Linked DNA regions of Canis lupus familiaris. The main gene of each other region encodes a partner of the protein of the gene in region 3 in a complex. Links are inferred from orthologs where the notes say so. Each region holds a gene or a part of one and is shown on either strand. Other genes may lie near its edges. The genes, in order: TAF13, TAF7, TAF3, TAF5, TAF11 and TAF9.

Region 1 (4,164 bases), on a different chromosome or scaffold from region 3:
AAGACAGGGGATCCCTGGGTGGCTCAGCGGTTAGCGCCTGCCTTTGGCCCAGGGCATGATCCTGGAGTTCCGGGATCGAGTCCCACCTCGGGCTCCCTGCATGGAGCCTGCTTCTCCCTCTGCCTGTGTCTCTGCTTCTCTCTCTCTCTATCTCTCATGAATAAATAAATAAAATCTTTAAAAAAACATAAGACATGTTTAGTATCTAAACAAAGTTAGGTTCTAGGCTCAGATAATTATAGGTTTTTCATTCACATGAATGTTTAGCAGGGCATTCAGAAATATTGTGGGACAACTTCTCCTTGTGTGGCATCATGCCTTGCATTGCAGAACATTTGATATCCCTAGCTTTAGCTTTCTAACGCCAGTGGTTTTCTTCATTGTTCTGATCACAAAATTCCCCACAAATATTTAATCCTCAGTTTAAGGGGGTGATGTTTTCCTCTTAAAAACTAGCGGCGAAGGAAAACATACCCAATAATCAGTGTAGTGCTTGGCAATTAATAATAGTGTAACTAGGGATCCCTGGGTGGCGCAGCGGTTTGGCGCCTGCCTTTGGCCCAGGGCGCGATCCTGGAGACCCGGGATCGAATCCCACGTCGGGCTCCCGGCGCATGGAGCCTGCTTCTCCCTCTGCCTCTCTCTCTCTCTGTGTGTGTGTGAGACTATCATAAATTTAAAAAAAAGAGTGTAACTAGGGCAGCCCCGGTGGCTCAGCGGTTTAGCGCCACCTTTGGTCCAGGGCCTGATCCTGGAGACCGGGGATCGAGTCCCATGTCGGGCTCCCCGCAGAGAGCCTGCTTCTCCCTCTGCCTGTGCCTCTGTCTCTGTCTCTCTCTCTCATGAATAAATAAATTAAATCTTAAAAAAATAATAATAGTGTAACTATAGGTTGTTAAAATTGTGTAAACACACTCTTCGGGCATCCCAAGGACCACTGGCACCCCAGTGATACGTAGCTTCACAGCCCCGAATCAGGGAGCGGTGATTCCATACGTAGAAGCCAATTCAGGGCCACAACATACACACTGCCCAGTCTACGATTTCCTTTTCTTTCCTAATACGTAATCAATCCGTGATCTTGATCACAGAACCTGCGGCTCATCCCCCTGTCCGCTTGCACCTGCCGTTAAGTCTCCGCGCGACCTCCTCGCGGGTTGGCCGACTAGGCCCCGCCCCGCCCGGCTCGGCCCCGCCCCCTCCCCGCCCTCCCGGCTCGGCCCCGCCCCCGCCCCTCCCGGCTAGGCCCCGCCCCTCCCCGCCCCTCCCGGCGCGTCACCGGAAGTGAGGCAGAGGAACTAGTGAAGCGGCTGCAAGCGAGGCTGCGGCTTCTAGGCTGGCCGGCGGCATGGCCGACGAGGAGGAAGACCCTGCTGTGAGTGACCGCCGCCGTTCCCACCCACCCGTTTCTTCATTCCCTGGGGGACAGGAGCGGAGCCTGAGTTCAGATTCACCTTAGCCAGTACACTGGAGAGAGTTCGGAGACTTCACGCCCAGCTAGCCTTTCCCTTCGGGTTCATCTCTTAGTACGTGGGGCAGGACGTGAAGAGTAGGACGGTGGCTGCTTGCTTGCTTCTGCTTGCTTTTGCTTTTGGTGTCTGTTTGCTGGACACTCCGAATCGCCTGGAAAGCCATCCGAGGACAATGCTAATTGTTTGTTAGCGCGCTTTATGAACCGATACTGCAGCTGATAACAAAACTATGTGCTTACTGTAGAGTTGTGGGAAAATAATGGACCGAAAATCAGGGAACCTGGATTTCAAAACCTCTTTTATCTCTGAGCCAGTTTCTTAACTTTGAGCCTTTGTTTACATGTCAAAAAATGGGGTTCAGGCTTATTGGAGGGAAGTTCCTAGTCCTGTGTAAGCGATGCTTAGTAAATACTAGTTTGCTTACTTTGATTCAGTACCAATTCTTAATAGTAAAAACTGTAGTAATAGACTAACTAGTTGGTTTAAAAAAAAAAAAACGTATGGTCATCATAACTTCCAGGAGAGGCAGTAGGATTATTTGTTAGGGACATCGTAGAAGCCATTCCTGCGTAAGTGGAAAGTTGGACTGGATAGTCATTAAGGTTCTTAAAACGCTGAGATTTCATGATTTTTTGCTGCTTGCTTTAGGCTTTCTGGCACAATATCAGTGTTAGAAATGAAAAAAAAATTAAACGTTAATTATTTAATAATCAAATGCAGCACTTGACATTTCACATATACGTTTTAATTTGTAGTTTGAGGAAGAAAATGAAGAAATTGGAGGAGGTGCAGAAGGCGGACAGGGTAAAAGGAAGAGACTTTTTTCTAAAGAATGTAAGTAATATTTGACAATGATTCAATTACAGAGAATAAAAACTTTTTTTTTTTTTTAAAAGATTTTACTTATTTATTCATGAGAGACACACAGAGAGAGGCAGAGGTAGAAGCAGGCTCCATGCAGGGAGCCGGATGTGGGACTTAATCCTGGGACTTCAGGATCATGCCCTGGGCCAAAGGCAGGCGCTAAACGGCTGAACCACCCAGGGATCCCGACAATAAAAACTTTTAGACATGTTTATTCAAAGTAGATTAATGTTCTCTGTGGGAACAATATTCTCAGACTTGCCCATAAAACGTGTTTAACTTCTGAATCAAATAGTAGTGATCCTAACCCCAATTTGTGTGTGTGTGTAGGTGGGTGGGCGTGTATATGCACTTTTCTTTTTAATTGAAGAAATGTGATCAGTGTTTCAATTCAGGGCCAAAAAACATACCTCCATTACTTTTTGTGTCCCTTACTATTGCAGCAGAACTCCTAGACTACAAGTCTAAGGTTATGATGGATCCTGGAACAGGTACTGATGGTAGGAATTAAGTTGGGCCTTCGGACTAAAGCATTGGACAAGACAGAAAGGTGATGAGTAGTGTAAGACAGTACAGTGGCATAGAGATTGTAATGTATTGGTTCTCTAGTGTATTCCCTCAATAGATAGGCTTGACTCTTTTTGGCAGCAGCAAGAGGGAGAGCTGCTGTTCCTAGTGACAGTCAAAGCTAGTCCCTGAAAGGCACTGTGAGAATGTGCTCTCCATCCTGTGTCTTTTACACGTAGTTATGGCTGAGTAGTGACAAAGGAGGCAGCACATGAATATATGGTTTATTTATGCTGGGTCGGACTGAATGATTCCCAAATGCTCTTGAAACTGCAGTCGGTATATATTTATATTTTTTTAATGACTCAAATCCTCCATATCTCAATGTCTCACCTAAAGTTGACCACTCCTTAATCCATCTTTGATACTCTTTATTCTGTTTTTATTTCTTATATCAGCGTAAGAAGGGGATTTCCACGGCAGAGCATCCCAGACTGATGTTTGCATTGTCACTTCTTAGCAGAAATGTTTGTTCTGCTTGGCTTGTTTTATTTTTGTGATGATAAGAGTTTGGAATATTCACAGCCTTCTCCTTGTCTTACTTTAATCTTGTATAATTTATTGGCTGACATCTGTTATCCGAAACTTTGTTTTTTTTTTATTTTTTTTTATTTTTATTTTTTTTAAATTTTTCTTTTTTTTTTTAATTTTCATTTATTTATGATAGTCACACACACAGAGAGAGAGGCAGAGACACAGGCAGAGGGAGAAGCAGGCTCCATGCACCAGGAGCCCGACGTGGGATTCGATCCCGGGTCTCCAGGATTGCGCCCTGGGCCAAAGGCAGGCGCCAAACCGCTGCGCCACCCAGGGATCCCTTGTTTTTTTTTTAATTGCTACTTTATAACACAAAGTTTCAAATAATTCACTGGTATTTGTGTCTTTACAAACCCTTTAACCAAATGCAGTTAACATATATACTGGTGAATTATGCTCATCAAAATGTTAATGACAAAGTATCTTCCTCAAATATTTAAGGAAAAATAGTAAGCTTGCAATGGAGAATCCTGGCAGACAAGTAATGTCTAAAGTATTAGCTGATGATCAAAGTCAACATCACCAGTAATGTATAACATCATGTACCTCCAATATGATGCATTAAGAGGGCACCTCACCTGTATGGTACCCTTTCTAGTAATGAGTACCCACAGTCTAATCATGAGAAAACACCAGAGAAACTCAAATTGGAGAACATTCTACACCATCACTAACCAGAATTCTTCCGAAGGGTCAAGGTCATGAAAAATGACCTTAATTTGAG
Region 2 (4,158 bases), about 8.1 Mb from region 3:
TATTATGGGAAACAGACTATATGTCATTTCTAAATGAATCAACTTTCATTCAATTAGCAAATATTTTTTTGTGTTTCCCATGTTTTGGTAATAGGTCCTGGGACACCATGAACAGGGATATCAAAAACTCCCTGATTATCACAGAGCTTCCAATCTGGTGCAAGAGAAACAGTCAAGTACCTAAACAAAACGAATTCTGAAAGTGTTAATCACATTTTAAGTGAGTTTGCTTAAATTTAGATGAAGTTGTTCATATTTTAGAAGACAGAAACAAAATTTTAATGACCTTGATGCTTAACCAAACTGATCCTATTAAAAAATAAATGGAAATGAATAGGAGCAAATGTAAACTGTTACATATTTAGGCCTAAACACTACAAAACATGCAAATGAGTACCTCACTACCCGTAGAAGTGACAAGCAGAAAACAGTTTCAAAAGAGTAGATGTGGAATGAAAAAAAAAATCCTAACTTAAAAAGTACAGGCAAATGCGTGACAGGGAGTAATACTTCAATTTTATTCTACTTCAATCAGACCGTTTGTCAGACAATTATGTTCTAAACGAATATATGCCTCCAGAAGAACACTCGCTTCTTTGTTTACATTTAGATCTACGTCAAACATATTAAAAAGAGGAATAACTCATGTACCCTTGTGGTTTTTCAAAAAAGAAAGAGTCCCTAAGGCATGGGTCCCCTCCAGGCATTTTCCATAATTAACAAAACATATACTTAGAATGATATAGTGGTCAGCATGTCCTTCTCACTCCACTGATTTGAGTAGTTTAAAATCCACTGTTATATATATAACAATTATAGTTAACTATAATTCTTGTATCTGCTCCAGAATGGATATACCGTGGGGAGCATCCGAGATGTTCCAAAAGGCAAAGACGATTTCTGCACGGACGCCCTGTTTCCGGAAATCACTCAGAAGCCTAGGAGATAACCGGACCACGGCGACCAATAAATGTTCTGGCTTAGCGGAGCGGGAAAGGTGAACGCGAGGGCCAATGTCTTCGCTGCAATGTTTGTCTGTAAATATTTTCAAACCAACAGCTCTTTATGAAACATTTATCGTTTTCTCGCGTAAAGTCAAATCATCGCGAGAGGACAAGTCCCCGGATAATGTAATTGCGCCTGCGCGCGCTGGGGCAGCCCGGACTTCCGCTTTAATCGTGCTGTCACTCATAGCCGCCCCACGGTGTGACGTAGTGCTTTCTTCTCCGCTAGGTCTGCAGCTCCGGACTGAGATCCCCCGAGCTGCGGAGCTGCCGAGTCTGGCGCTGCGGATCTCGGCGAGATTTCGCACTGCCCGCCGTCGGCATTTCATTGATAATCGGTAGCGGATCACTTTCCTAAGACCTGGGAAGAACAAAGGAATAAAGAAGGAGACGCTCGGCTCCTGGCCGTCTTGCTCGGAGTGGCTGCCTCTTCCGCTCGCTCCTATCCGGAGAAGCTGGGCTTATAATCGTCACTGGATTGTAAGTACCCAAGGCGAAGAAAGCTCACTGCGTTCTGCTTTTTGAATACCTTTGTTCCGGGAGAGAGTGTAAAATGGGAGTGTCTGCTGGGCCTTACTTTTTGTGTCGAAAATCATTTCGCAGAAGCCGCCATTTGCTTTCCTGCTAGGTAGCTCGGTCTGCATTGTCCGGCAGCGGCATCTAGAGGTTGGAACTTGAATTGCAGCTAATAGTTTTAAATGGACTTAATTGATTAGTGTCCCTAACGACTGGTATTTCAATCACAGCAGATTTATAAAGACTTGGGCCTTAATTCACAGTAGACGCTTAGCTCCTATTCTGCTTAAAACTTTTGTAATTAAGGATTTCAGTTCATAACAAACTGGCCTCCACCTGTTGTCAGTAGCTGGAACTTAAAGTGCAACAAGTGGTGGTTGAGAAGTGAGTCTCAAAGAAGGAAAGATGAGTAAGAGCAAAGATGATGCTCCTCACGAACTGGAGAGCCAGTTTATTTTACGGCTACCTCCGGAATATGCCTCTACTGTGAGACGGGCAGTACAGTCTGGTCATGTCAATCTGAAGGACAGACTGACAATTGAGTTACACCCTGATGGACGTCACGGAATCGTCAGAGTGGACCGGGTTCCATTGGCCTCCAAATTGGTAGATCTGCCATGTGTTATGGAAAGCCTGAAAACCATTGATAAAAAAACTTTTTACAAGACAGCTGATATATGTCAGATGCTTGTCTCCACAGTTGATGGTGATCTCTATCCTCCTGTGGAGGAACCAGTTGCTACTACTGATCCCAAAGCAAGCAAGAAAAAGGATAAGGACAAAGAGAAGAAGTTTATATGGAACCATGGAATTACTCTGCCTCTAAAAAATGTCAGAAAGAGAAGGTTTCGGAAGACAGCAAAGAAGAAGTATATTGAATCTCCAGATGTGGAGAAGGAAGTGAAGCGGTTGCTAAGTACAGATGCTGAAGCTGTGAGTACTCGTTGGGAGATAATTGCTGAAGATGAAACAAAAGAAACAGAAAATCAAGGCCTTGATATATCTTCTCCAGGAATGTCTGGTCACAGGCAGGGCCATGACTCATTAGAACATGATGAGCTTCGGGAGATATTCAATGACCTCAGTAGCAGCAGTGAAGATGAAGATGAGACGCAGCATCAAGATGAAGAAGATATAAACATCATTGACACTGAGGAAGATCTGGAAAGACAGCTACAGGAGAAGCTGAATGAATCAGATGAACAGCACCAAGAAAATGAGGGGACCAACCAACTGGTTATGGGAATTCAGAAACAGATTGATAATATGAAAGGCAAACTACAAGAGACCCAGGATAGGGCAAAACGACAGGAGGATCTCATTATGAAAGTCGAAAACCTGGCTCTCAAGAATAGATTTCAGGCCGTGCTGGATGAACTCAAACAAAAGGAAGACCGAGAAAGGGAGCAGCTCAGCTCTTTGCAGGAAGAGCTAGAATCACTCCTGGAGAAGTGAAAAGAGCTCTCGTATTTAATTTCATTCCTAAGACTGCTTTCATTCCTTAGCATTGAAAGAAGAATCTTGGCTTCATCACACCTGGACTAGATATAACTGCAGTAGTTCTCATTTTCTTCACTGTTATCTACTGAATTTGTCTTACAAATATGTGAATTGCTATCTTGTTTGTCAGAACCACTTTGCTCTGTGTCCTGTAGAAAGTAAGAATGTATAGACAGATAAGTGATTGTAGGAAAATTGTAGGCTCAGTGGAATGAACAGTGTAACCTTAGTAATTAAAACTTTACTGAAGGATTTTGCTGCTGTTTCTCCATTTGCCAGAGTGGCTGTTCCTTCTCTGTGATGCCATCAGAAATCAGTAAGCAGAGTCTAGTGTGCAGGCAGTGATGTTGGTTTGCATGTTTTCCCATGAAGTAGTAGCTATTTTCCCAGGTATTCAAAGCGTTCTTATGTATGTAGGGTTATAAACCATTTCAAAAAGTTGTTTTAACAATAAATAAAAGCAACTAATTTTCACCTCATGATGTGTCTTGCTCTTTAAGGGGTAGTGGGTATCAGGTCCTCTGGTGAGGTGGTCTCTTGGTGGGGTTTAATGACTGATTTGATCCTGTTTTGTAGGGAAAGAAGTTATGTTGAGTTTTAAGAAAACACAGTAGGGTCAAAAAGATTGGGAAATCTGTCTTTGCTTTATGTTAACTTTCCAACCCACCTGTTACATATGTAGGTTAAGAAAATACTGCGTACAGAACCTTCCTAAACTATCCTAACTTTTGTACATGAAGGTCTATTTTTGTCTTTTTTTTTTTTTTTAAAGCACTACACTCATCTTGTTAAAATAGTAGAAACAAAGCAAAGGCTCTTACGTACTGTTCACGTAATCAACCCATTGTTTTGGATTGATTGCATTTCTAAATATTTTCAACTTCCATTCCTGCAATTATTTAATAGTATGTACAGAACTCAGGTGATATGTCCATGTTCGTCAAAATTGTTCAAAAGGAAGTCATCACTATAGTGGGATATTTCAAAGTTTCTTTAAAATTTTTCATATATTCTTAAGATTCCAATGTAATGCCTTGGCACGAGCTATTTGTGAAAACTGAAAAATTTGACAAAATGCAGAGTTGCATTTTGCAGTTCACTTCTGACGGGAGGAGTCAAAGTTAGCTTGAAAATTGGC
Region 3 (4,451 bases):
TTCTGTGTCTAAGGCAGAAAAGGTAACTATGAATTCAGGGGATATTTTCATTACCTAAAAATACAGAACATCTGTCCTTATTTAGGGAACTTGGTAGCAAAAATACAATCTAGACTATGCATAACGTAACAGTATACCCAAGGACCACAAAGAGGGGGAGGGAAAGAAAAGAAGCAAAAACCAAGACAGCAGGGTGCTGGCGGTGTATTCAAGGTAACAATGAATGAGAGTTACTTTGTCGTACCACGTTTAGGTTAGAAGTTATCAGTGAAATCAAGCAATCCCAAAATTCACATCTTGGAACTCAAAAACTCAGGTGACTAAACAGCTATTACAGTAGTAGGTTATCAGTTCATTCATTTATTCAGCAACCACCTCCTGGGTGCCCAGTATATTATGGCACCATACTAGGTTACAGAATACAAATATAATAAATTTGTTGCCTGGGGAAAAGAAAGGATGAATGATAGACAAGAATGATTACAAAACAAGGTGTTAACGTACAGGAATATGGACAGAATTATGAGAGCAGATGACAGGAGTTGCCCAAATCAAGTGCTTTAAGTGAATCTCAACATAGAAGTAGGACTACTGGTGGATCAGGGGGTGAAGAAAGATACTCTACGAAATGGCACCCATATAGGAACAGATAGTTTAAAAGGTTTTGGAGAAGGCAGGTAGCTCAGCATGGTAGCAATAAGAACAGCAGGAGGGAAGGGAAAGCTCACAAAGAAAACCATGTGTGTTGTGGAAGAGTTCATATTTTCAGCCTGTAAGCCATGGAGTACAAATTAACATATTTTTAAGAATGACACGATCAGGGCAGCCCCAGTGGCTCAGCGGTTTATCGCTGCCTTCAAGCCCAGGGCATGATCCTGGAGTCCCGGGATGGAGTCCCATGTCAGGCTCCCTGCATGGAGCCTGCTTCTCCCTCTGCCTGTGTCTCTGTCTCTGTCTCTCTCTCTCTGTGTGTCTCTCATGAATAAATAAAGTCCTTAAAAGAAAAGAAAAGAATAACGTGATCAGATGTGCCTTACCGACAGATTATTTTGGCAGCACTGTAGAAGCTGGTACAGAATTGGGGGCCTAAGAAGTAAACGGCATCTGTGGGTCTCAATTTTCAGGTCTAGGAATGAGTTTAAAGAAGCAATAATAGGGGCACCTGGGTGGCTCAGTGGTTGAGCATCTGCCTTTGGCTCAGCTCGTCATCCTGAGGTCCTGGGATGGAGTCTCACGTCGGGCTCCCTGCATGGGGCCTGCTTCTCCCTCTGCCTGTGTCTCTGCCTCTCTCACTCTGTGTCTCTCATGAATAAATAAATAAAATCTTAGATTTTAGAGAAGAGTTACTCTAAAGAGTAAAGAGTGAAGAGAAAGAGTTACTCTTTCTGAAAGAAAGAAAGAAAGAAAGAAAGAAAGAAAAAGAAAGAAAGAGAAAGAGAGGCAATAATTTGTTCACCCAGTTCTCCAGCTTAGGCAACTTAGGAGTATGGACCTCAAATTTCAATGAATGGTAGTTCCCCCTATACACACACCCACTTACTTCACATCCCTGGGGTGATGTGTGGTTCCTATCAAATATACTCTGAATTATGGAATGCCATCAGCTGTCGATACTACCGGACGCTCACTTAAAAACCATCAACACGGGGACCCCCGGGAGAGGGGGGGGGGGTGGTGGCTCAGCAGTTGAGCATCTGCCTTCAAGCCCAGGGCATGACCCCGGGGTCCTGGGATCCAGTCGTGCACCAGGCTCCCTGCATGGAGCCTGCTTCTCCCTCTGCCTGTGTCCCTGCCTCTCTCTCTGTGTGTCTCTCATGAATAAATAAAAAATCTTAAAAAAAAAAAAAAAAGCCCATAAATACTTGCAGCGCAAGCCACCTGCTTTGATAACCGCGGAGGTAGAAACCCAAAAAGAGGCAAAACCCCACGGGTATGCGGAAGCCCGTGTAAGCGAGCTGGACAGAGTCGGCCTCCGGGGAGCGAGCGAGCCGCGATGCTCTTGCACGCTCCGCACGGCGCGGACCGGTCACAGGAGAGAAGAGGCCGCGTCCGCAGCGCGGCAGAGCTGTCAGCGGGTTCTGCGGGGTCTGGGAGCTGAGGGGTGGCCAGGGGGGCCCTGCAAGAAGCGGCCGGTAGACGGAGCGCCTGTGACAACTAGTTGTAGTAGTTTGCAGGCACGGGAGCGGGAGGACCCAAGTCGGAGCTGGCGGTGGCCGTGCACGCGCGGGCGGGCAGCGAGGCAGGTTTCCCACCGGGAGGCGAGGCGGGCGAGGCGGGCGGGCCGTGCAGCTGCGAGCGGGGCCGGGGGGTCCCGGCGGCGGCGGCAAGTGAGCGGGCGACGCGGAGACGGGGGGGCTCCCCGGAGCTGCCAGGGGCGGCGGAAAACGGGGGGCGTCCGAGAAAATGCCCGATCTCGGGGTCGAGGAGGAGGAGGAGGAGGAAGAAGAGGAGGAGAAGGGGGAGGAGGAGGGGGAGGGAAGGGGGAGGGGCGGGGGCGGGGGCGGGGGGGACCCGCAGCCTGGAGCCGCCGAGCAGAGGCGCGAGGACCGGAGGTGTCACTCGCCGCTGTCCGGGGGCAGCCCTCCCGCTCCCGGCCCGGTACTCACACAGCTCAGAGTACCGGTGGCAGCCCCGTCCCAACTGCTGCAGGTAGCGCTGCAGCACGTCCGTGAGGAGGTGGCAGGCGCTCAGCTGCACCGAGTCCCAGCCCAGCGCCTGGCAGATCTGCGCCACCGAGACCCTCAACAACGACCTGGAGTAACTCTCGCACATCCCGCTCCGTGGACTCCACCGCAGCCCTCGCTGCCACTGTCTCCAGCCGCACCGCCTAACCTTAGCACAGCCCTCGATTCATCCTCTAGGGCCCCCGCGGCGGGGAAATCGTGCCCCCCGAGCCCCGGCGACCGCCTCAAAGCGCCAGCAGCACGGAGCGCGCCAGCCTGAGAGCCGCCATTTTGGGCTCGCTCCGCCCCCCGCTGGACGGCCGCCGGGGCCAGGCAGCACTAGCCGAGGGCGGAGCGCGCCCGTGCGCAAGCTCCGCCCTGCCGGGGCAGAGCGATGCTCTCGGCGGCGGCTGTCGGGCCTGGGAGGGCGCCGGAGACGGCGCGGTGCGGGGCGCAGGTGGAGGATGCGCGCGCGCGGAGGCAGGTGCCCGGGGGTCCCTCGGGCGGGCGCTCAGGGGCCGGGGCCCGAGTCCGCCCGCTGCAGCGGGAGCGCGACAGGCCGTGAGTGCGGGGGCGGGATTCGGGCCGCGGGGACGCGCGGGGACGCGCGGGGACGCGCCGAGCCGGCCTCGCCCGCGCCGCCGCCGCCGCCGCCGCCGCCGCCGCCCCGGGTTGCAGGGGTTACGTCACGCCCAGGCCGTTCTGGGTCGGGGCCGCGCGGGGCGGAGCCTGCGGGACCCCGGGAAGGCCCCCCGGACCCCGGCCTCAGGGCGCCCCTCTGCTCCAGCTCTGGGTTCGGTGCGCCCCAGTCGGCCCCGCAGGGCAAAGCCAGTACCGGAAGCGGACGGCGCAGCTGCGGGCACGCGGAGCTGCTGTCCTCGGATCCCCCCAGGCTGCCGAGGACCGGGCGTCGTCGCAAGTATCTCGGGTCGTAAGTGTTGGGTGGAGTCAGCCCGTGGGTGGCCTGCGGCGAGGGCTGAGCTGGGGGTCGCTTAGGCACGTCCCTTGTGCCCCCGCCGAGTCAGGAGCCTGCCTGCCTGCTTCCTGCCCAACTGCCCGTCTGCCCACCTGCCCACCTGCCTTCCTGCCCATCTGCCTGCTTGCTTGCTTCCTTCCTTCCTTCCTCCTTGCCTCCCTGCTTCCTTCCTTCCTTCCTTCCTGCTTGCCTCCCTGCCCCTCCCTCCCTCCCTCCCTCCCTTCCTTCCTTCCTTCCTTCCTTCCTTCCTTCCTTCCTTCCTTCCTTCCTTCCTTCCAGCTTCCTTCCTTCCTTCTTGCTTCCTTTCTTCCTTCCTTCTTGCCTCCCAGCTTGCTTGCTTGCTTCCTTCCTGCTTGCCTCCCTGCTTGCTTCCTTCCTTCCTTCCTTCCTTCCCTCCTTCCTTCCTTCTTTCCTTCCTTCCTTCTTGCCTCCCAGCTTGCTTGCTTCCTTCCTTCTTGCCTCCCAGCTTGCTTGCTTGCTTCCTTCCTTCCTTCTTGCTTCCTTCCTTCCTTCCTTCTTTCCTTCCTGCTTGCCAGCTTCCTTCCTTCCTTCCTTTTTCCTTCCTTCCTTCCTTCCTGCCTGCCTGCCAGCTTCCTTCCTTCCTTCTTGCTTCCTTTCTTCCTTCCTTCTTGCCTGCCAGCTTGCTTGCTTCCTGCTTGCCTCCTTCCTCCCTTCCTTCCTTCCTTCCTTCCTTCCAGCTTCCTTCCTTCCTTCTTGCTTCCTTTCTTCCTTCCTTCTTGCCTCCCAGCTTGCTTGCTTCCTTCCTTCCTTCTTGCCTGTCTCCTTTCTTCCTGCCTTCCTTCCTGCCTTCC
Region 4 (4,213 bases), on a different chromosome or scaffold from region 3:
CTGACCTGATACATACCAAGTGACTAAAGCTGTTTTATTAACGTCCAGAGGGAAACTGTTTCTTAGATGTTTGCCTCTCTCCTCTCAAACTCTCTCCCCCACACAATCACACAATCTTATAATGGGATTTTCACTTCGTTTCAGTCACCCATCCAAAACTCCTTCAGCTTATCCATATCTTAAAATAAAATTTTCAAATCAGTAACAAAAAGGTTCAATATTTTTCCTGCAGCTACTTCAAAGACAAATTTCATAATACATGGTATGTGCAAATCAAACAACTATGTTAACCTTCTCTCAAGGTTCAGTGTAAATGGCACCCATGGCTACCAAGCGCTGCCCTGAAGTAACATTCTCAGATCTCTGAACTGAGTATTATAACTTTCTTGTAACACATCCTATTCTGCAGGATATGTATATATCTATCACTCCTTATAAAATGCAAGCATTTCAAGGGTGGGAAGGATGAGCCTTATTCATGTTTTCAAAAGATAACTCAATTTACATGCTTAAAATAATCTCCATAAATACCATTCCAAGGCAGAAAACATGAGTATTTGGGGATCCCTAGGTGGCTCAGCGATTTAGCGCCTGCCTTTGGCCCAGGGTGTGATCCTGGAGTCCTGGGATCGAGTCCCACATCGGGATCCCTGCATGGAGCCTGCTTCTCCCTCTGCCTCTCTCTCTGTGTCTCTCATGAATAAATAAAGTCTTTTTTAAAAAGGGGGAAAAAAAAAACATGAGTATTTATTTGTAATAAAGCAATACCAAACAATGATACACCTGCCAATCTAATCAGTCTCATTGTTGCAAAATTTTAAGTTGCAATTATAATACTTCTGTATTCTTCACTATACAAATGTTATAAGTTCTTTTGGTTACTCAGATGGCCTCTTTTCCTCCTTACTGGTTTCTGAGTTATAATAGGTCAAGTTTCTGAAAATATGAGAGATTATAGAAAAATAACCAACATAATTCATCCATCTTATAGTTCATTCACAAAGTTTAGCATTCAGAAAAGATTCCTCTAAATCACATTTTTGCACATTTCTATTTAAGGGATACAAGGATACATATTCACACTTCACTTCTGGCAATGCTACAAGACTAGGTCTCACATAAATACAGATCTATTTGGCTAGAGGCTCTGCACTGGATAACTGCATTCAATAAACGTTTATTATCACCTCAGGATCACCTTTGAGTCCTCATGCTGTGTATGAATTTTACTGCGTGGACTTTGCAACTACAGTTGCTAGGAAAAGGCTGGGAAGGGAGGTCTCAGGTGTTAAGTGTTAGGCATAAACTTAATAGTGCCAGGCATTTTATATATATTATAGATGAGCCTCACTATAATTCATTTAATAAAAACAACAACAACAACAACAACAACAACAACAAAAACCCAACCTCAACCTCAGGAAGAATCAGCATCACATAAGTAAAAGCAACAGAGATAGAGAGTCTGAACCCTGGTTTGTCCAAAACATATTCCTAAATGAATAGTTCTCAAACGTTGCCATACATCAATACCCCCTTAGAAGCATATATTCAAAAATGGAGATTCCTGGGCAGCCCAGGTGGCCCAGCGGTTTAGTGCTGCCTTCAGGCCAGGGCCTGACCCTGGAGACCTGAGATCCAGTCTCACGTCGGGCTCCCTGCATGGAGCCTGCTTCTCCCTGTGCCTCTGTCTCTGCCTCTCTCTCTCTCTTTCTGTCTGTTATGAGTAAAGAAAAAAAAATTTAAAAAAAAAAAGGAGATTCCTACAGATTCCTCTACACGATCTGATTCACCAAGTCTGAAGTGATGTGCAAAAATCTGCATTCCCCCAAAGGTTTAACTAGTGATAGCCTATAGTTTGAGAAATACTGCTTCACTATGTTCCATCACTCCCTGGCTATTCAGTCCAAAGCGAGTCTCTTGGCTTTTCCGAGTCCGTTTTCTTATAGAGGTAATGTCTAGCTCAGAGTGGAATTGTGAGAATTAGGATATATAAGGTATTTTTAGTAATTACTTAAAGAAGACAGCACAGTTCTGTATAAATAGTGTTAATGCAGACCTGCCAAAGCTTAAGAGCCCCCCAAAGAAGAAAGGGACCGAAAGCCTGAAGGTCCCCGCCTCTAGGCGCCCACCCTCCCCAGACATCCCACTGCTCAACTGCTCTCCTCAGCCTCTCACTGGAACTGACAGCTTGGAAGAGGGTTTGACTGCGCAGCCGGCGCACCAGAGAAAGGGGCGGGCATGTGGCCCTAGAGGCGGGCCCAGGAAATTCAAAACAAGCCCGCAGAGGTGCAGGCCTGCCAGGCTCTGCCTTCCCGGCTTGCTCCCTTCCGCGCCCTGCCTCCCCGGGACTCCGCGGCTCACCTTTCCCGGGAGCCGGAGGACCGGTCGCTAAGCCCGAGACGGCGGGGGCCCCTGAAGCGCCGGTGCCCGGAGGGTCAGGGGCCGCGGGGCCGGGGGCCGAGGCTGTGACCCGGCTGAGAAGCGCGCTAGCCGCCTCCGTACCGGCGCCGTCCGCCTCTCCCGGGGCTCCGGTGCCCGCCACTGCTTCCTCCAGCAGCCGGGCCTCACGGCGCAGCGCCTCTTCGGCCTCGCGGAGGTTACTCTGCCGCAGGAACTGCAGCACGGCCAGCAGAGTCTGTCGGTCGTGGGGGGCGCCGGCCTCCGGAGCAGCGGCGGGCACCGGGGCCGCCCCCGCCGGAGCAACGGCGGAGACAGCCACCGAGGGTTTGGGGGTCCCACCATCCCCGCCGGCCGACGACGCCGCCGCCGCAACGTTCCCGCCGCCGCCGTTGGGGCCGTTGTTGGTAGTGCCGCCGCCACCCTCGCCAGTGCCGTCCCCCGCCTGCGGAGGTAGCAGCGTCGGCGGTCCCTCTGGCTCTAACTTGACCGCCACCTCCGTCTGCTCCTCCGCCAGCGCCGCCATCTTGCGGCTGAGCCACCTCGCGCCGTCAAGCGTGATTGCGTTTTCACCACATGGAGGGCGGGGAGGAGCGTTTTACGACACATTGGGAAGGCACTATACGGCAGTAGGAGGGGCGAGAAGGGAGGAGAAAAAGAACAGGAGCGAGAGCAGTTTTCGAAAGCGAGTGACAGAAAGGCAGGAAGTGGGAGGTGGCGACCGCCTGTAACATTTGACTGTAATAACTACCATTTATTGCAGACCCGCTATTTTTAGGCACCGTGAGAGACATTTTACATTGTATGACCTCCTTTAATTCAACAATCTCACAAGGCAGTATTATCCTCTCTTTACAGGTGACTCAACCGGGACCCAAAGAGGTTAAACAACTTACTTGCCACAGTCACGCAGGAAGAAAGTGAAAGCGTCAAGATTCGAATCCAGGTCTCTAACTCAGAAGCATATCCCATAGCCAGAAGAAGTCTTCTGAGATACTGGTAATGTTTTATATTTTGATCTGTGTGGTGGTGACTTTTTTTTTTTTTAATTTTTACCTTCATAAAAAAGAAACAAGCTAAAGGTATGAGTTTTGTGAACTTTACAGCATGTATGTTATAATTCAGTAAAATTATCTAAATTTTGTCATTGTGAAATGGGTACATTCTGTATTCGTGCTGTTAAACTTTATTACAAATAAACTGCGGTTTTTTAAAAGATTTTATTTATTTATTCATGAGAGACACAGAGAGAGACAGAGAGAGAGAGAGGCAAAGACACAGGCAGAGGGAGAAGCAGGTTCTATGCAGAGAGTCTGCCGTCGGACTCCATCCCGGGTCTCCAGGATCACGCCCTGGGCTGAAGGCGGCGCTAAACCGCTGAGCCACTCGGGCTGCCCCAAACTGCGTTGTTTTAAGATTTTATTTATTTATTCAAGAGAGATACAGAGACAGACCGAGTCATAGGCAGAGGGAGAAGTAGGCTCCCTGCGGGGAGTCTGATGTGGGACTCTATCCCAGGACCCCGGGATCACAACCTGAACCAAAGACAGATGCTCCACTACTGAACCACCCAGGTGTCTCTAAACTGTGTTTAATTGCATACTTTTTAAAATAGTATGTGCCATTTTGGAATATGCTTCAGAAGTTATACAACCCTGCTGCATATTGAATCTTTTTATTTTATTTTATTTTAAAGATTTTATTTGTTTATTCATGAGAGAGAGAGAGAGGCAGAGACACAGGCAGAGGGAGGGGCGCCTGGGTGGCTCAGCGGTTGAGTGTCTGCCTTCAGCTCAGGGCATTATACTGGGGT
Region 5 (2,501 bases), on a different chromosome or scaffold from region 3:
CTTTTATTTTCCTGCATGAATGATCCACCCGTTTGACTAACACCTCACTCAAAATGCCAATGGACATAGCTCATGCATTTAGTTCAGCTCTCATATTTGATGGAAATGAAGTGTGGTAGTCCATTCTTACCCTTTTAATGGCTGCCTTAGGGAAAGCTGACCGGCGATACATTTCATAACGGTTCAGCTGCTCCTCCGAAAAAGAAGAAACCAGGATTCTAGACAAAGATTCAGGTAATTAAAGTGGCTTACAAGAATGAATGCTTAAGATATATTATTACATCAATAAAAGCAAGTTTCGGACAATTAGTGAATTTTCAAGGGGTCAATAGCATTAGGCTTTGTGCATACAAGGAATGAAGATAAAATATTTTTATTCTTAAGGAACTTGAGAAAAAAGTGAAAATACAACTTCCTTTCTACTTCATTAAGCATAAAAACTTGAATAACAATGTTGGGTCACTATATAATATACTATCTAGATTGTATTTTCAGCACTTTGCTCTCTCCTTGTAACTCTATACCTTTACTACACATTGATGGTAAACATTTGATACATAAATTTATATTCAAACCAGTAGTTAGATTTGGGGGAAAATATTTGTAAAATATATGGAAAATGATTAATACTTTCAAATAAATGAAAAGATGGCTATATTAATTTAGAAAACGAGCAAATGACATGAATAGGGAATTTGCAAAAATACCAATGGCCAATACAGAAGAAAAATTAACCTTCATTATTAACTAAAGAAATTAAAATTAATAAAATAACATTTTCATGAATCAGACAAGTATTATAAAGCACAGTATTAGTAAGAATGGGAGGATAAAAAAACTCATACCTGCTGGTAGAGTGTGAAGTGAACAACCTTTCTGGAGAAGAATTTGGAAATGTGTATGAGGAATATTTGAAAATATTCATACTGTTTGAACTGGCAATTCACTTCTAGGAGTTTATTTAGGAAATAGATGGACAAGTATGTGAAGGATGTGCTCAAAGATACTCGTCATAATGTTGTCAAAAGAAAAAAAAGGAACTATAGGGGTTATTTATCTGCATAATGGAATATAACGAAGCCATTGCAACTGAGGATTTATGGGCATATTTACTGACAGGAAAATATTTAGCTACACATATCAAACATTAAAAACAAATCTGAAAAAAAAAAAAAAATCTGAAAACAACAACAACAACCAAAACCCCCAAATCTGAAGAAGTATATAATCAAATATATATCCGGGGTTACTCTGGGTGGTAGGATTATAGGTAATTATTTTTTCCATTTTTCTGTATTCTCTGAATAATTTCCAACGAGCCCATACTACTTTTATAATCAGAAAACACAATGAGGGGTGCCTGGCTGGCTCAGCCCAGGGGAGTGTGTGACTCTTGATCTAGGGCTTGTGGGTTTGAGCCCCATGTTGGGTGTAGAGATTACTTAAAAATAAAATCTTAAAAAGAAAACAACCCCAAAACACTACAATGAAGCTACTTCCAAGTAAAGAAAATTATGACCTAGATATATAATTACTGATATGGAAAACATTCACCATATATAATATGAAAAACAGGTTACAAATAGTAGTATCTTTGAAAAAAATTCTAGATATGTATGTATAGAAAATATCTTGGAGACTATATACCAAAATATGAACAGTGTTTATCTCTGGTAATAAAGTGATATCTTTCTTTTTACTTATATTTCCTAAAATGTAACATAGGATATTTGCTTTATTTTCTTTTGAATATAAAAAAGTAAAAAAAATTTAAAGGCCAAAGAAACTTATTAACTTTGTGTGGTCAAAGTAGAGCCTTGGAATGGGGAAAAAAAATCACAAAGTGACTTACTGCATCTTTTGAATCTCATCTTCATCCACTTTTTGCTTCTTCTCTTTCTTTTCTTTGGTATCTATTTTTATTTTTTTGGCTGCAGGAGTAAGCAAAGAGGAGTCTTCCCTTTCAACTGCTGTTAAATCTGAGATGTCCTGATTCTTGAGCTGAAAAGATGAAAGAAACCCTATTACATATATATTCAAGCCTACATTCCAGACTTGGGCAAGGTAAGAGTTCATTCACATTACAACACAACAAACTTATTATTCAGTAGTTTTTTGGTCCCAAGCCCTGGCTGTGCCATCATACGTAAGACACACTCTCTCTCCTAGAGAAGTTTATAGCTCAGCTGTGTAATCCAGTTTTCCAGTTTAGCTATGAACATAGCTCTAGTATGTATTTACAAAAGAAACGATGTGCCAAAGATCATGAAAACCACTCTGCCTCCTTGAGCCCACTTTCCTGACCTCATTCTTTAGAGGGGATGTCAGAAAAGTCCTCTCCAACCAGCCAGCTCTTCTGCCTCTAAATCTATAGAACTCTTTATTGCTGATGATTCCATCTGGAAAGAACATTAAAAAGGAGGCACCTTCTCATCAAAACAGTGTTTCTTTGGATTTGGAAATTTTAATAATTTTTTTAAAAGTAATTTCTACCCTCAGCT
Region 6 (2,907 bases), on a different chromosome or scaffold from region 3:
AGAAATATAGGTCACAGAAATATAAATTCCTGCCCAAGAGAGTTAAGATACATGTAAGTCTCTTAATATGTATCTCCAAGTTGCTTTTCAAAAAGCTTTGAATTAAGTTTTAACTCTATGATTGAAGATCTTACTGTTATTCATGGTCGGTTCTCAGGAGTAATGATGTCCCAAAATAACAGCCTAGGACAGTGTTGTCCAATAAAAATATCATACAACTCATTAGGTAATTTAAAATCTTCTAGTAGACACATTTTTTAAAAAAGTAATAAACAGGGGAGTGTGGGTGGTGTAGTCCGTTAAGCATCTATCTGACTCTTGATTTCAGCTCAGGTCATGATCTCAGAGACATGAAATTGAACCTCACCTCGGGTTCTGTGCTGAGCACCAAGTCTGCTTGGGTTTCTCTCTGCCTCTCCTTCTGCCTCTCCCCTTGCACACTCGCGTGCTCTCTCTCTTTCTCTCTCAAATAAGTCTTTAAAAAAGTAATAAGTGAAATTAATTTTAATAATATATTTTATTGAACTCAATATATCCAAAATATATCTTTTCAAACTATATATTTAAAAATTATTGCTAAGGTTTTTTTTCTTCTTTATTCACATTCAGTTTCTGAAATCTAACATGTGTTTTACACTTTACATCTCCATTTGTTTTTGTTTCTGGTTTGTTTTTGTTTTGTTTTGTTTTGAGATTGTATTTATTCATGAGAGACACAGAGAGGCAGAGACGCAGACTCCCCACAAGGAGCCAGATGCAGGATTCAATCCTGGAACCAGGGATCATGCCCTGAGACAAAGGCAGATGCTCAGCCTCTGAGCCACCCAGGTGTCCCTCACATCTCCATTTGAACTAGGCACATTTCCAGTGCTCAGTAGCCAAGTGTGGCTTAGTGGCTACTGTATGGAATAGCACAGGTCTAGGAATTTGGCTATCTTCTTTGGAAGGTGGCAGGCGGTTACTTTTAAAAACATATCCTCATTTATGTCCCTTTGTTACCTTACTCTTTTTAATAAAAATGAAGCAGAAACAAAATTTAACTGACTAAAAAAGCCTCCTAGATAAGAGAATGGCTTACTAAATACTGTTTTACTGCTTCATATTTCTACCTGTTGAGTAACAATGTATAATGGGTGAAAAAAAAGACAACTTTAAAAGATACACTCCTTTATTCCAGCTTACTTGAACAGATCCTGGGGCTAGTTTTGTTTCTAGAATCTACATTATGTTACTGAATGCTAAACACCAGTGCAATGTTGCTCCCGAACATCCTGCTCACCGGTACCCCGGGGGTTGGAAAAACCACACTAGGCAAAGAACTTGCATCGAGATCAGGATTGAAATACATTAATGTGGGTGATTTAGCTCAAGAAGTCTGATCAACAGATATCATGGAGTCTGGCAAGATGGCTTCTCCCAAGAGCATGCCGAAAGATGCACAGATGATGGCACAAATCCTGAAGGATATGGGGATTACAGAATATGAACCAAGAGTTATAAATCAGATGTTGGAGTTTGCGTTCCGATATGTGACCACAATCCTAGATGATGCAAAAATTTATTCAAGCCATGCTAAGAAGGCTACTGTTGATGCAGACGATGTGCGGCTTGCCATTCAGTGTCGTGCTGATCAGTCTTTTACCTCTCCTCCCCCAAGAGATTTTTTATTGGATATTGCAAGGCAAAGAAATCAAACTCCTTTGCCGTTAATCAAGCCATATTCAGGCCCCAGGCTGCCACCTGATAGATATTGCTTGACGGCTCCAAACTATAGACTTAAGTCTTTACAAAAAAAGGCATCAACTTCTGCGGGAAGAATAACAGTTCCACGGTTAAGTGTTGGTTCTGTTACTAGCCGACCAAGTACTCCCACTCTTGGTACACCAACCCCACAAACCATGTCAGTGTCAACTAAAGTAGGGACTCCCATGTCCCTCACAGGGCAGAGGTTTACAGTACAGATGCCCACATCACAGTCCCCAACTGTAAAAGCATCAATTCCTGCCACATCCGCAGTTCAGAATGTTCTGATTAATCCATCATTAATTGGGTCCAAAAACATTCTTATCACTACAAACATGGTGTCATCACAAAATACTTCCAATGAATCATCAAATGCATTGAAAAGAAAACGAGAAGATGATGATGATGACGATGATGATGACGATGATGACTATGATAATTTGTAATCTAGCCTTGATGCTGTAACCTGTAAACTTGGTCTTAAATCCATTGTACTGAGATTAAACGTGCATGCTGGGTATTTTGAAGTTGTGTTGTAGAAAACTTAAATGGTATTTAATGAGTAAATATAGTTATCCTTTCCTATTGAATGTTGGGTTTTCTTTAATAGGATTAGTAATGGTTATTCATTAGCCTTTAAGTGTGAAAAATAAAATTGTTGTTCATCAAAAAAAAAAACAAAAAACACCAGTGCAAACATTCTCTTAAATTAATAAAAATTTCTTTTGTTGAGTCTTTAATGATGAAATGAACAGGAAAGAAGAAAAGCAAGAAATAGATTTGACTGTGCTATACTGATGAAAACCATGTTTTTCAATTTATTCTCACAATAAAAAGTATTTGATCTGAAATCCTATATAATCCCAGGATGCAACAATCCTTCTCTGTTGTATGGCAACTTCCTGCCATGCATAATTATTTTCCAAAAGCGTATCAGGTCAGAAATGAAGCAGAGAATGGGGGAAAGAGTCCATAGTGATCTTAGGCAGATTTTATTTTACTAGTAGGAATCAGTTGGATAGTTATTACCACCTGGCACTGCTAATGAGTCTAGTTGGGAAAACAAAGCAGCAAAGCATTCCACAGCAGACTGCACCGTGGTCCAGTTCTGGGGAGTCTTTTGGGGTCTGTTGAGCATCTGAAGATACATTTGAAGGTGTTTTG

The links.
Region 1: TAF3 (region 3) and TAF13 share a complex: the UniProt entries of both Homo sapiens proteins name them as parts of the TFIID basal transcription factor complex. The link is inferred for Canis lupus familiaris from reciprocal best matches to the Homo sapiens genes TAF3 and TAF13.
Region 2: TAF3 (region 3) and TAF7 share a complex: the UniProt entries of both Homo sapiens proteins name them as parts of the TFIID basal transcription factor complex. The link is inferred for Canis lupus familiaris from reciprocal best matches to the Homo sapiens genes TAF3 and TAF7.
Region 4: TAF3 (region 3) and TAF5 share a complex: the UniProt entries of both Homo sapiens proteins name them as parts of the TFIID basal transcription factor complex. The link is inferred for Canis lupus familiaris from reciprocal best matches to the Homo sapiens genes TAF3 and TAF5.
Region 5: TAF3 (region 3) and TAF11 share a complex: the UniProt entries of both Homo sapiens proteins name them as parts of the TFIID basal transcription factor complex. The link is inferred for Canis lupus familiaris from reciprocal best matches to the Homo sapiens genes TAF3 and TAF11.
Region 6: TAF3 (region 3) and TAF9 share a complex: the UniProt entries of both Homo sapiens proteins name them as parts of the TFIID basal transcription factor complex. The link is inferred for Canis lupus familiaris from reciprocal best matches to the Homo sapiens genes TAF3 and TAF9.

What each region holds. Positions count from the first base shown.
Region 1 is NC_049227.1:43,170,235-43,174,398, forward strand, and holds the start of TAF13 (transcription initiation factor TFIID subunit 13), read left to right. Parts: upstream 1-1,292; 5' UTR 1,293-1,348; coding exon 1,349-1,375; intron 1,376-2,227; coding exon 2,228-2,306; intron 2,307-4,164. UniProt on the Homo sapiens protein: The TFIID basal transcription factor complex plays a major role in the initiation of RNA polymerase II (Pol II)-dependent transcription.
Region 2 is NC_049223.1:35,442,095-35,446,252, reverse strand, and holds TAF7 (transcription initiation factor TFIID subunit 7), read left to right. Parts: upstream 1-1,175; 5' UTR 1,176-1,925; coding exon 1,926-2,975; 3' UTR 2,976-3,499; downstream 3,500-4,158. UniProt on the Homo sapiens protein: The TFIID basal transcription factor complex plays a major role in the initiation of RNA polymerase II (Pol II)-dependent transcription.
Region 3 is NC_049223.1:27,342,915-27,347,365, forward strand, and holds the start of TAF3 (transcription initiation factor TFIID subunit 3), read right to left. Parts: upstream 2,972-4,451; 5' UTR 2,773-2,971; coding exon 2,607-2,772; intron 1-2,606. UniProt on the Homo sapiens protein: The TFIID basal transcription factor complex plays a major role in the initiation of RNA polymerase II (Pol II)-dependent transcription.
Region 4 is NC_049249.1:15,937,524-15,941,736, reverse strand, and holds the start of TAF5 (transcription initiation factor TFIID subunit 5), read right to left. Parts: upstream 2,947-4,213; 5' UTR 2,927-2,946; coding exon 2,365-2,926; intron 1-2,364. UniProt on the Homo sapiens protein: The TFIID basal transcription factor complex plays a major role in the initiation of RNA polymerase II (Pol II)-dependent transcription.
Region 5 is NC_049233.1:4,267,074-4,269,574, forward strand, and holds part of TAF11 (transcription initiation factor TFIID subunit 11), read right to left. Parts: intron 2,065-2,501; exon of another isoform or gene 2,002-2,064; coding exon 1,853-2,001; exon of another isoform or gene 219-1,852; coding exon 131-218; exon of another isoform or gene 1-130. UniProt on the Homo sapiens protein: The TFIID basal transcription factor complex plays a major role in the initiation of RNA polymerase II (Pol II)-dependent transcription.
Region 6 is NC_049257.1:19,523,810-19,526,716, reverse strand, and holds TAF9 (transcription initiation factor TFIID subunit 9), read left to right. Parts: upstream 1-1,263; 5' UTR 1,264-1,391; coding exon 1,392-2,189; 3' UTR 2,190-2,328; downstream 2,329-2,907. UniProt on the Homo sapiens protein: The TFIID basal transcription factor complex plays a major role in the initiation of RNA polymerase II (Pol II)-dependent transcription.